3 linked regions of the Ovis aries genome follow. The protein of the gene in region 1 purifies or fractionates together with the protein of each later gene. This does not show direct contact. Links are inferred from orthologs where the notes say so. Each region holds a gene or a part of one and is shown in the gene's direction. Other genes may lie near its edges.

Region 1 (3,656 bases):
GCCACCACCGAGCTTTTGCATCCCTTCGCCGCCCCCACCCCTATTTCCTTTGCTGCAAATTTAAAGGTGTCAGGGTGGCCCGAGCCAGATCGAACCGGTCACCGGCTGGGGCGTGTAAAGCGGAAGCGCTGCGGCGCCCTGGCCCCGCCCCCTCCCGCCGCCAGCAGGCTAGGCTGTGCGAGCGCGAGTGCGAGCGCCGCGCGACATATGCCGTATGTATAGCGGGGCGCGCGGGCGGCGGCGGCGCGCGGGCGGGCCGGCTGGGATCTGCTCGCGCCGGTTTAGGCCGGTCCTCTCCTGCTCCGGTCTAGTTCTTGATTGACAGCCCGGCACTTGTTTACCACGGCGCGGCCGCCGCCGCCGCTCGCCTCAATGAGACTGCTGAGCTGGCACAAAAAGGGAGCGAGAAGGGAAGAAAAGGAGAGACAGGGAGGCAAACTTTGGGCGCCTTCAGGAGGGAGCGGTTTTAAATGTCCCCCAACTCATCAGCCGCTTTCAGGGCCGAAATCCAGGAGAGAGAATTTGCACGGGGGTGGGGGGAGAAGAACAAAATAATGGTGACAAGACTGAGTCGTGATGGTTATTGAATAAAAGGTATCCACATATAGGCATCTTTTTTTCCCCCCTCTGAGGGAAGCATCATTTTTTGTGTGTGTATTTATTACTTTTTTGAGGGAAAGTTAAATGATAATACCCGTTTCTGACAGCCTATTTAATGATAAAGGTTTCTACACCGAGGAAGCTGCGTTAGTAGACATTTATGTAATTAAATTACCTAGTTAGAACGCTTCAGAAAAGCATGTCAAGAATCCAGAACCCCCTCCCGTATTTCCCTGAGGGTTTTTTTTTTTTTTAGATAGTTTGAAAAATAACCTATTTCATCAAAAGAAATTGGATGTAAAATCAAAGGTCATCCTGTTTTTTCCCTAGCACTGGGGAACATCCTTATCTTCATTTTTCAAGGATGTATGACCTGTTTTTTCCCGTTAAGCAGGCACATTTTAAGTCTAAGGTACATCATATATATGTGAATTTTTAGCTATTAGACTGAGGTCATAATTTTAGGTTCAGTAACAATTTTTATTTTTGACTATGAAACCGACATTAAAATCACTGTTCCTTTTTTTTTTTTTAACTCCCAACATCTACTTAGCAGTTTTCTAATCGTTTGAGTTTTCACATTCATATTTTCCGTATCAAAACTGATATTTTTTTAAAGGTTTACGTGAATAGTTTTCATTTTATATGTAGGCTTATTAGGATAAATTTAAGTAAATGGTTGAAGACAAAGGTAACATCTTAGTATGAGATTTGAGGTCTGAGTCTTAGCCTGTAGGATGTTAGCTGAAGATGCTTTGCAGTTTAGGTTGTTTTCCATTAAAAAAATCACTTATGGGGTATAAATATTAATTATCCCCATTCTACAGATGAACCAGCTGAAGACAGGAGTTTTATTTTACCCAGAAGTGATGAAGTTGGAATTAGAGTTCAGATCTCTCACACTCCAAAGTTTGTGGCCTTATTTAACTATGTGAGCATCTTTTAAGTTCTGACATCGTGAAGAGAGTGTGAAGGTTTATTAATAAATTTTTTGTTTTCTGTTTTAGATGACGATAATTCGGAAGAAGGCTTCAACACTGTTCATTCAGGAAGGCATGAATATGCATTCAGCTTCGAGCTTCCACAGACGTAAGTATTTTGTTAACAGGCGTTTTTCAAATAAACATCCTTTCTTTTAAAATGAAACATTGTATATTTAAATATTTTTAGTTTAAAAAAACCCTTTTCATTACTGAAACTTGCTAGAGGAAAACAATATACTAAAAAAAAGCTATTTTTTAATCTAGAGTGGCAAAATTATAGAAAGCAAATCTCAATTCTTAATACTCTGTCTCAGGATTTGTATGATGTTTAAAAGTATTTCATTTAAAGTGAATGAATTGGAAGGTGCTAGTCAAATGGTAAGCACCTAATAGTTCACCATCAGCATTAGCTGGAAAAAAGATCATATCAAGTCTGTCATTTAGTAGTTTATAAAAGTTAAGTGTTCTGTCCTTTCTACTGATGCTTAACCAACACTAAGAAGGTAAAAATAATTAGGAATATCCTAATTTTAGAAGTACTGTGTGTTTATGATATGAATTCATTAGCTTCTGTGCAAGGAGCTATTGAGAATGTCACACAAGAGATATTGCGACCTAGACTTAAAAGGAAATGTCAATCAGATATCTTAATGTAAGGCCTGGAATATAGTATGAAAGGAAGAAGGAAAGTAAAATATTCATAATGTAATAATTATGTATTAGAGGAAATTATACAAAAAGCAGTTTTTAAAATAATGCCTTAACAGATATTAAAGCATGCAAAGTGGTACTTGTAATGTTTGTTCTGAAAGATAAACTTGCATTACAGAAGATTTTGTCAAGTGCCAAATGTACATAATTCTGTGTTCTTTAATTCTAGTACTTATTATATATGGATAGAGTTCATAAGGAGTATTTTTCAGAGTATCATATTGCTTAAGAACATTTTTAATATAATACCCTAATTACTTTCTAAGAGAAATATTTTAAGTTTGTAAATACAATAGGGCTAATACAGTTGGGCCTGAATATTTTCAAAGGATGAAGGTAATTTAATATAAATATATATTTTAATTCTTTCAATAAGCCACAGTCATTTAAAATAAACTGTAGAAGTCTTGAATAGATCCTGCATTTTATTTCTCTGTGCTATACAAATTAAGCAGAAGTCTAAAATGTAAAACAAAAAGTAAACACCGCTACTCCTCAAAAAAACTAGCACTCTACCTTGTAAATAAATGAACCTTGTGCATTTTTCTGATGAAATTATGAAAAGGAGACTAAATACACTAAAATAAAATCTTCCACAAATAATAAAATCAGAGTTGAGAAGAATTCTGATTCTTTTGATAACAGGTCAACAGAAGAAATTCTCCTTCTTTTTAAGTCTATAATGTAGTTAGAAAACATGGCCAAAATTAGGAAATGGAAAGCATTTTTTAAGAGATTAGTGGACTTAATGAAATGTAAAAAGCTTTTGAAGCCATAATGACTATTCCAGACCTTTTCTGGATCTTAATTAGTTGCTATAATAGGAAATAGTAATTTTTAGCTAATGAAAAATGGAGCACCATAGGGAGTTTGGTCTGAATGTTTAACCAGAGTCTAGAATTTCTCAAGAGAAATAGTTAAACCATTCTTAATTTTATTTTTAAACTAAAGTCTTGACCTTTTCAAAAACTGTTCATTTCCAGACTTTGATAATTTTGCCACCAGCATTAAAAGTAGCCTCTTCTTAGTTTAAAGCAATTGTATTCGTCTGGCTTTTTTTAACCAAATTTCTGCACTATTTGACAATTATCTATTTTATTATTTGGAAGGTTCCCCCCCCCCCCCATGATTTCTCCCTTTGGAAATATAAATTACACCTTCGATACCTCATTGGTGTATAAACATATAATATATTAACACTTCTATGCTGACCTACTGTATAATTAATTAAACAGAGGTGTAAGATTAATATATGATCTTTATATTCTGCACAGACCACTTGCTACCTCATTCGAAGGCCGACATGGCAGTGTGCGCTATTGGGTGAAAGCCGAATTGCACAGGCCTTGGCTTCTACCAGTA
Region 2 (3,114 bases), about 30 Mb from region 1:
TTCTCATTTTAACAGATAAGGAAGGAACAATGCCACACTCCCTAGAATTAAGAATTAAAGCATACAACCTTCTCTTCCTATCCCCAAGCACATACACGTATACCCCAGCTCCAAATGAAATCCCAAGAGTAAAATTAGGTCTCAATCCCTGCAAATTTCCAAGGAGGGCACCAAAAGTACTGGACAGCAAGCATGCTGAGGAAGTTGGCTGCTGTTAAAGTCACCACCTGTGGTCTTGCCAAATGTCTGAAAGGGAATATGCCATGAGACCTGTGTATTGGGGAAGATGGGGGGGATGTCCAGGGGGCAAGGGTAAAGAGTTTGGAATATCCGGATGGGGAAGTCCTTCTCTGTGGCACACTGCTTGCCTCCAAGTGGGCGTTTGTATGCCGTTTGTTTACTTCTTTTTGTCTGTATGTCGGTGTCTTTATGCTTCTGGGTGCTCCTGGTTTGCTCCTGGCCATGTCGATCGTGCTGGACAGGGGTGATTGTGCCAGTCGGCTTCTGTGCCTGAGCACTCGTTGGTGCGCTGGATGGGTGTGTCTGAGTGTCTGTGGCTGTGGTTCCGTATAAGTCTGAGCATGTATGTCGGGGTACAATGTGCCTGCCTGTGCGTGTCTCGGTGGGCACGCTCATCTAATGCGAGGAAGTGCCGGAGTATTGCCATCTGCCCTGAGACCTCAAGCCGCACAGCCGCCCCAGGCAGACAGGTAGCGCCCACCAAAGAACCGGCACCTTCTAGCTGGCTGGTAAGCTCGCTAGAGCCGGCTTCAGCCTCCGGGGCCAGCCGAGGGAGCCCCGAGGGAATGGTGGCCGACCCGCCCTGCTAGAGCAGCTGGGTCCCGCCCGGGCCAGCCCCAGGAGCAGGCAGGAGAGGGGAGGGAAGGGGCGGGAGAGGGCGTGGGCCTCGCCCCTTTGGGGCTTCCCGCGTTCTATTGGTTGAAAGTTCTAGCACGTCACGGGGAGGGCAGTTCCCCTAAAGTCCTGGTCACATAACGGACAGCGCGCACTCAGAGACGGCTTCTCCAGAGCGCAAGCTGGAACTGGCTGAAACTGCCCGGCACTGCGAGTCCAGAGTACCCCCGGAGCTGAGTGCACCACGCACCCCTACCACACCCGCACCCACCCACGGCCGCTGAATGAGTCTTCCAGGTGCTCGCTTGCTGCCCGCAGCGCCCCGCCGGAGGTCCGCTCGCTGAGGGCGGCTGGTGCGCCGGCAGCCTGTGCGCTCACCTGCCAGCCTGCGCGCCATGGGGCAGCCCGGGAACCGCAGCGTCTTTTTGCTGGCGCCCAACGCAAGCCACGCGCCGGACCAAGACGGCACGCTGGAACGGGACGAGGCCTGGGTGGTGGGCATGGGCATCCTCATGTCGCTTATTGTCCTGGCCATCGTGTTTGGAAACGTGCTAGTCATCACAGCCATTGCCAAGTTTGAGCGTCTGCAGACGGTCACCAACTACTTCATCACCTCCCTGGCCTGTGCTGACCTGGTCATGGGCCTGGCAGTGGTGCCCTTTGGGGCCTGCCACATCCTCATGAAAATGTGGACTTTTGGCAACTTCTGGTGTGAGTTTTGGACTTCCATTGACGTGTTGTGCGTCACGGCCAGCATTGAGACCCTGTGCGTGATCGCTGTGGATCGCTACTTTGCCATCACGTCACCCTTCAAGTATCAGTGCCTGCTGACCAAGAATAAGGCCCGGGTGGTCATTTTGATGGTGTGGATCGTGTCTGGCCTTACCTCTTTCTTACCCATTCAGATGCACTGGTACCGGGCCAGCCACAAGGAAGCTATCAAGTGCTATGCTAAGGAAACCTGCTGTGACTTCTTCACGAACCAACCCTATGCCATTGCCTCCTCCATTGTGTCCTTCTACCTTCCCCTGGTGGTCATGGTCTTTGTCTACTCCAGGGTGTTCCAGGTAGCCAAAAGGCAGCTCCAGAAGATCGACAAATCTGAGGGCCGCTTCCATGCCCAAAACGTCAGTCAAGTGGAGCAGGATGGGCGGAGCGGTCTAGGACAACGCAGGACATCCAAGTTCTACTTGAAGGAACACAAAGCCCTCAAGACTTTAGGCATTATCATGGGCACTTTCACCCTATGCTGGCTGCCCTTCTTCATTGTCAACATTGTGCACGTGATCCAGGATAACCTCATCCCTAAGGAAATTTACATCCTTCTAAACTGGTTGGGCTACATCAACTCCGCTTTCAATCCCCTTATCTACTGCCGGAGCCCAGATTTCAGGATTGCCTTCCAGGAGCTTCTCTGCCTGCGCAGGTCTTCATTGAAGGCCTATGGGAATGGCTGCTCCAGCACCAGCAATGACAGGACTGACTACACGGGGGAACAGAGTGGATATCACCTGGGGGAGGAGAAAGACAGTGAACTGCTGTGTGAAGACCCCCCAGGCACCGAAAACTTTGTGAACCAGCAAGGTACTGTGCCCAGTGATAGCACTGATTCACAAGGGAGGAATTGTAGTACAAATGACTCACTGCTGTAATGCAGGTTTTTCTACTTTTTAAGACACCCCTTCTCCCCGGTTCCCTGCAACAAAACACTAAACAGACTATTTAACTTGAGTGTAATAAATTTAGAATAAAGTTGTACAGAGATGTGCAGGAGGAAACATATCCTTCTGCCTTTTTATTTTTTATTTTTTTAAGTTGTGACAAAATATATTTGAGTAACTGTTTCTTGTACAGTTCAGTTCCTCTTTGCCTGGAACTCGTTAAGTTTATGTCTGAAGGGCTTCAGTCTCAAAGAACCTGGGGCTGCTATGTTTTGATGACTTTTCCTGCATATCTACCTCATTGATCAAGTATTAGGGGTAATATATTGCTGCTGGTAATTTGTATCTGAAGGAGACCTTCCTTCCTGCACCCTTGGACTGGAAGATATTGAGTCTCTCGGACCTTTCGCTGTGAACATGGACTCTCCTCGCCCCTCTTATTTGCTCAAACGGGGTGTTGTAGGCAGGGACTTGAGGGGCAGCTTTGGTTGTTTTTCTGAGCAAAGTCTAAAGTTTACAGTAAATAAATTGTTTGACCATGACTTCATTGCACCTGTTTCTCCAAAACCCCTTGACTGGAGTGTGCTTGCCTCCCCCA
Region 3 (3,656 bases), on another chromosome or scaffold:
CCTTTTCCTCTTCTGTCAGTCTCGTTTCTATCTACTTTGCTTTATGATGGGTGCAGACTGAAAAGAGATTCTGGGGAATTGATTGACCATGATGAAATATGTTTATTTTCACTCATTTCTGACCTAAAGAAAGATTCCCTAAGTTTACTTTGTGAACTTACCTGGCTCAAACTGCAGGGTTTTAAAAGGAGGGTTTTTTCCTCCTTATTTATTTTTATTAACGTATGGTTGATTTACAGTGCTGTTAATTCTTATTGTACAGCATGCTGCTAAGTCACTTCAGTCATGTCTGACCCTTTGTGACCCTAAAGACTGTAGCCTGCCAAGCTCTGCTGTCCACGGGATTTTCCAGGCAAGAATACTAGAGTGGGTTGCCATTTCCTCCTCCAGGGGATCTTCCCCACCCAGGGATCGAACCTGGATCTCCTTCATTGCAGGCAGATTCTTTACCACTAAGCCACCTGGGAAGCCCTTGTACAGCACAGTGATTATGTTATATATGTTATTTTTAATATTCTTTTCAATTATGGTTTATCATAGAATATTTTTTCACGGGAGGATAATTCCTTTACAATGTTATTAGTTTCTGCTGTACAACAGGGTTAGTTTTTTTTTTAACTGAGTAAGAATTATAGACCCTATCATATTTATGGTAAAGTTCTTATAAAAGCTAATACATAATAGCAAAGTCATTATAAGATATTTGGAGAAATATTAATATTAAATGGGATATATTGATATATGGTGTTAATCATTTAACATATAAAATAATTGGAAGGAAGAAAATATTTTTATTTGAGGGAAGCCAGGCATAAATACATGAAAATATTTAATCTTGCTAGTAATCTTAAATAAACACCTAAAAGGTGTTTTGTGTGTTAAATTAACATATAATATCCAGTTTTGGCGAAATTGTAGGGGAGCTTTGCCTCTTAATGTTGCTGGTGGTAGTCTAAAGTAGTTACAGCTCTCACAGAAAGTATATATAACTGTAGCAATACCCATACCCTTAGTAACCCTCTCCAGGAAATGCATCCTAAAGAAGTAATGCAAAGGAAGAAAAAAATTTTCAATACATAAAAGGTATTAATTATTTTACCACAGTTGGCCTGCATGCATAGATCGAAATATTGGGGGAAAATTTTAAGGTGTCCCAGAAGACAAAACCTGAATTTGCCACGCCCTGGCAACTGTTTACGTAACATTAATGTTATGTTGACAGTTGTTTAGCATTTACATTGTATTAGGTATTGTTAGTAACCTAGAAATGATTTAAAGTATATGGGAGGATGTGCCTGGTTATATGCAAAGCCTTGCTATTTTATATGAGGGACTTGAGTACCCAAGGAGTGTCCTGGAACCAATTCTGGATAATATTAAACTAATAGACATAACCCCAAACTATCAGCCAGGTAGACATCAAGTTACTTTATCAATGTTTCCTTGAATGTTATGCATCCATTTCAAATGATAAATAAAATAGTTTTCTTCTTGAGCAAAAGTGCTATTCCTGACATCCGTGAAAAGCACTTGCACTCTCTGGCTCTCACGTATATTTCTGTTCCTATTAGGATTGCAACAGTGAAAAGAACATTTCAAACAAAGAAAATGAGAGCTTTTGTCTTACTGATTTGCAATTTAATCAGTTAAGATACATTGTTTTAGAAACCTGACTGATACATCTTAACTTTTAAGAAAGAGATTTTTATATACATTCCTTTTAAGTTCATTTATAGACCATTTAAAAATATATAAAAGGTCCCCCCTGGTGATACAGTGGATAAGAGTCTGCAGTGCTGGGTATATGGGTTTGATCCCTGGTCCAGGAAGAGTCCACATGCTTTGGAGCAGTTAAGCTCATGTGCTACAACTACTGAGCCCGTGCTCTAGAACCCTACAAGCCGTAGCTACTGAGCCTGCATGTTACAACTCCTGAGCTCTGGTGAGCTCGCACACCCTAGAGCCCGTGCTCCACAACAGGAGAAGCCCACGCATTGCAACTGGAAAGTAGCCCCCACTCTGCACCTAGAGAAAACCTACACAGCAACAAAGACCTAGTGCAACCAAAAAATAATAAGTAAATAAGTTTTTTAAAAACTGTAAAGTACATACTTTTTTTTTCTTTTTTTTTTTTTTTTTCTTTTATTTTTACTTTATTTTACTTCACAATACTGTATGGTTTTGCCATACATTGACATGAATCCCCATGGGTGTACATGCGTTCCCAATAAAGTACATACTTATAAAAGACTTCAGGTAACTGAAAAGTAGCTGTGTAAGGTAAAGTCTTGCCAAATCTGTACCAGGGCTAAAATGAAGTCCCACTTAGTTCTTAACAGTTTCACAAATATTTGTTGAATTCAGTTGTTTTTATCTTGATATAGCTGGGAGCGGCGGGTTGACAACATGGGACGTATTTATTATGTTGACCATTTCACAAGAACAACAACGTGGCAGAGGCCAACATTGGAATCCGTCCGAAACTATGAACAATGGCAGCTCCAGCGTAGTCAACTTCAGGGAGCTATGCAGCAATTTAACCAGAGGTTCATTTATGGGGTGAGCATATGTACTTGGCTTTATAACCTTAATGAGGGTTGAGTTTTAACCTTTTCTTACATATAAAATGTAAAGCACTAAAAAGAAAGTACAAATAAGATGGCAACCCAGTTGTTGCTATTGATGATATTATTATTTTTCCATCTTGTTTCCCATAGTCTGTGTAGGTGATTTATTCTTTTCTTTTTAAAATTTCCTTAAGTTCAACTTCCTTTGCTTTGTTACTGGCAGAAAAGAAGTTCCGACAACTTAAAATTTATTTACAAAAGAATGATAAAAATAAATCCAAGCAGTGTAAAAAGAATTCAAACAGTTCTGAATTTAATACTGCCTAGCTTAGCAGAACATTAGACTGTTTGGGTCTAACAGCACCTGACTCAAGTGAAACTCATGATAGAATTGAATCATTTTGTAACATGTAAAGGTAAAATTTACACAATACACTATTTAGTGCTTGAGAAGACTAAAGTTTGATTGCTTATAGAATTATGTTAAATATATTATTATGACTTTGAAGCCATATTATCTTTGGTATCAAAATGTCTCCTTTCTGGAAATCTTTTAAATTTATGTAAACCAACTCACCAAGAGTTCAAGAGAAGTTGACCCTCTCCGTTGCCGTCTCTTCCCTTCTACTGCCATCAGTATCATCTCTGTTAGAATCCATCAAAATAAATTCCTGTTCTCATTAGGCATTACCTTTTTGCCTTTTCTCCGTATTTCTGTTTCTTGGACTTTGTCATCATAATAGTTACCACTCACCAATGTAGATAAATTTGCACCTTGCTCAGCAGCTTTCGCTTCACCACCTGGTTATGACTAAGATAACTTTCTTTCATGTAACAATTTTTCCTGCCAACTTCTGTAGACAGCTGTCAATGTTTTCCCCTTCCCAGTGGTTTTAGAAGTGAAATTAATTTTTGTCTCATCTACCTTACAGTTTTCTTTTTTTTTCCCAGTGCTGTTTTACATCTTCCTTCCTTTCTAAATTATAATCATCTTGGGTATACCTGGCTAAATTTCTTTTAGGTTTGAATGCCTAGCTGGCTTGCCTTCTTTAAAGCTAGTTTCCACATGGGTGTCCAGTGGAAAGAGCA

What was found.
Region 2: the proteins of ARRDC3 (region 1) and ADRB2 purify together in Homo sapiens (affinity purification with western blotting; 6 studies listed by BioGRID and IntAct, with this or other methods). This does not show direct contact. The link is inferred for Ovis aries from reciprocal best matches to the Homo sapiens genes ARRDC3 and ADRB2.
Region 3: the proteins of ARRDC3 (region 1) and ITCH purify together in Homo sapiens (co-immunoprecipitation; 5 studies listed by BioGRID and IntAct, counting the BioPlex papers as one, with this or other methods). This does not show direct contact. The link is inferred for Ovis aries from reciprocal best matches to the Homo sapiens genes ARRDC3 and ITCH.

Annotation. Positions count from the first base shown.
Region 1 is NC_056058.1:88,494,409-88,498,064, reverse strand, and holds part of ARRDC3 (arrestin domain-containing protein 3), read left to right. Parts: exon of another isoform or gene 1-212; intron 213-1,427; coding exon of another isoform or gene 1,428-1,509; intron 1,510-1,607; coding exon 1,608-1,689; intron 1,690-3,568; coding exon 3,569-3,656. UniProt on the Homo sapiens protein: Adapter protein that plays a role in regulating cell-surface expression of adrenergic receptors and probably also other G protein-coupled receptors.
Region 2 is NC_056058.1:58,016,075-58,019,188, forward strand, and holds ADRB2 (beta-2 adrenergic receptor), read left to right. Parts: upstream 1-1,250; coding exon 1,251-2,507; downstream 2,508-3,114. UniProt on the Homo sapiens protein: Beta-adrenergic receptors mediate the catecholamine-induced activation of adenylate cyclase through the action of G proteins. The beta-2-adrenergic receptor binds epinephrine with an approximately 30-fold greater affinity than it does norepinephrine.
Region 3 is NC_056066.1:63,837,587-63,841,242, forward strand, and holds part of ITCH (E3 ubiquitin-protein ligase Itchy homolog), read left to right. Parts: intron 1-2,384; coding exon 2,385-2,559; intron 2,560-3,656. UniProt on the Homo sapiens protein: Acts as an Acts as an E3 ubiquitin-protein ligase which accepts ubiquitin from an E2 ubiquitin-conjugating enzyme in the form of a thioester and then directly transfers the ubiquitin to targeted substrates.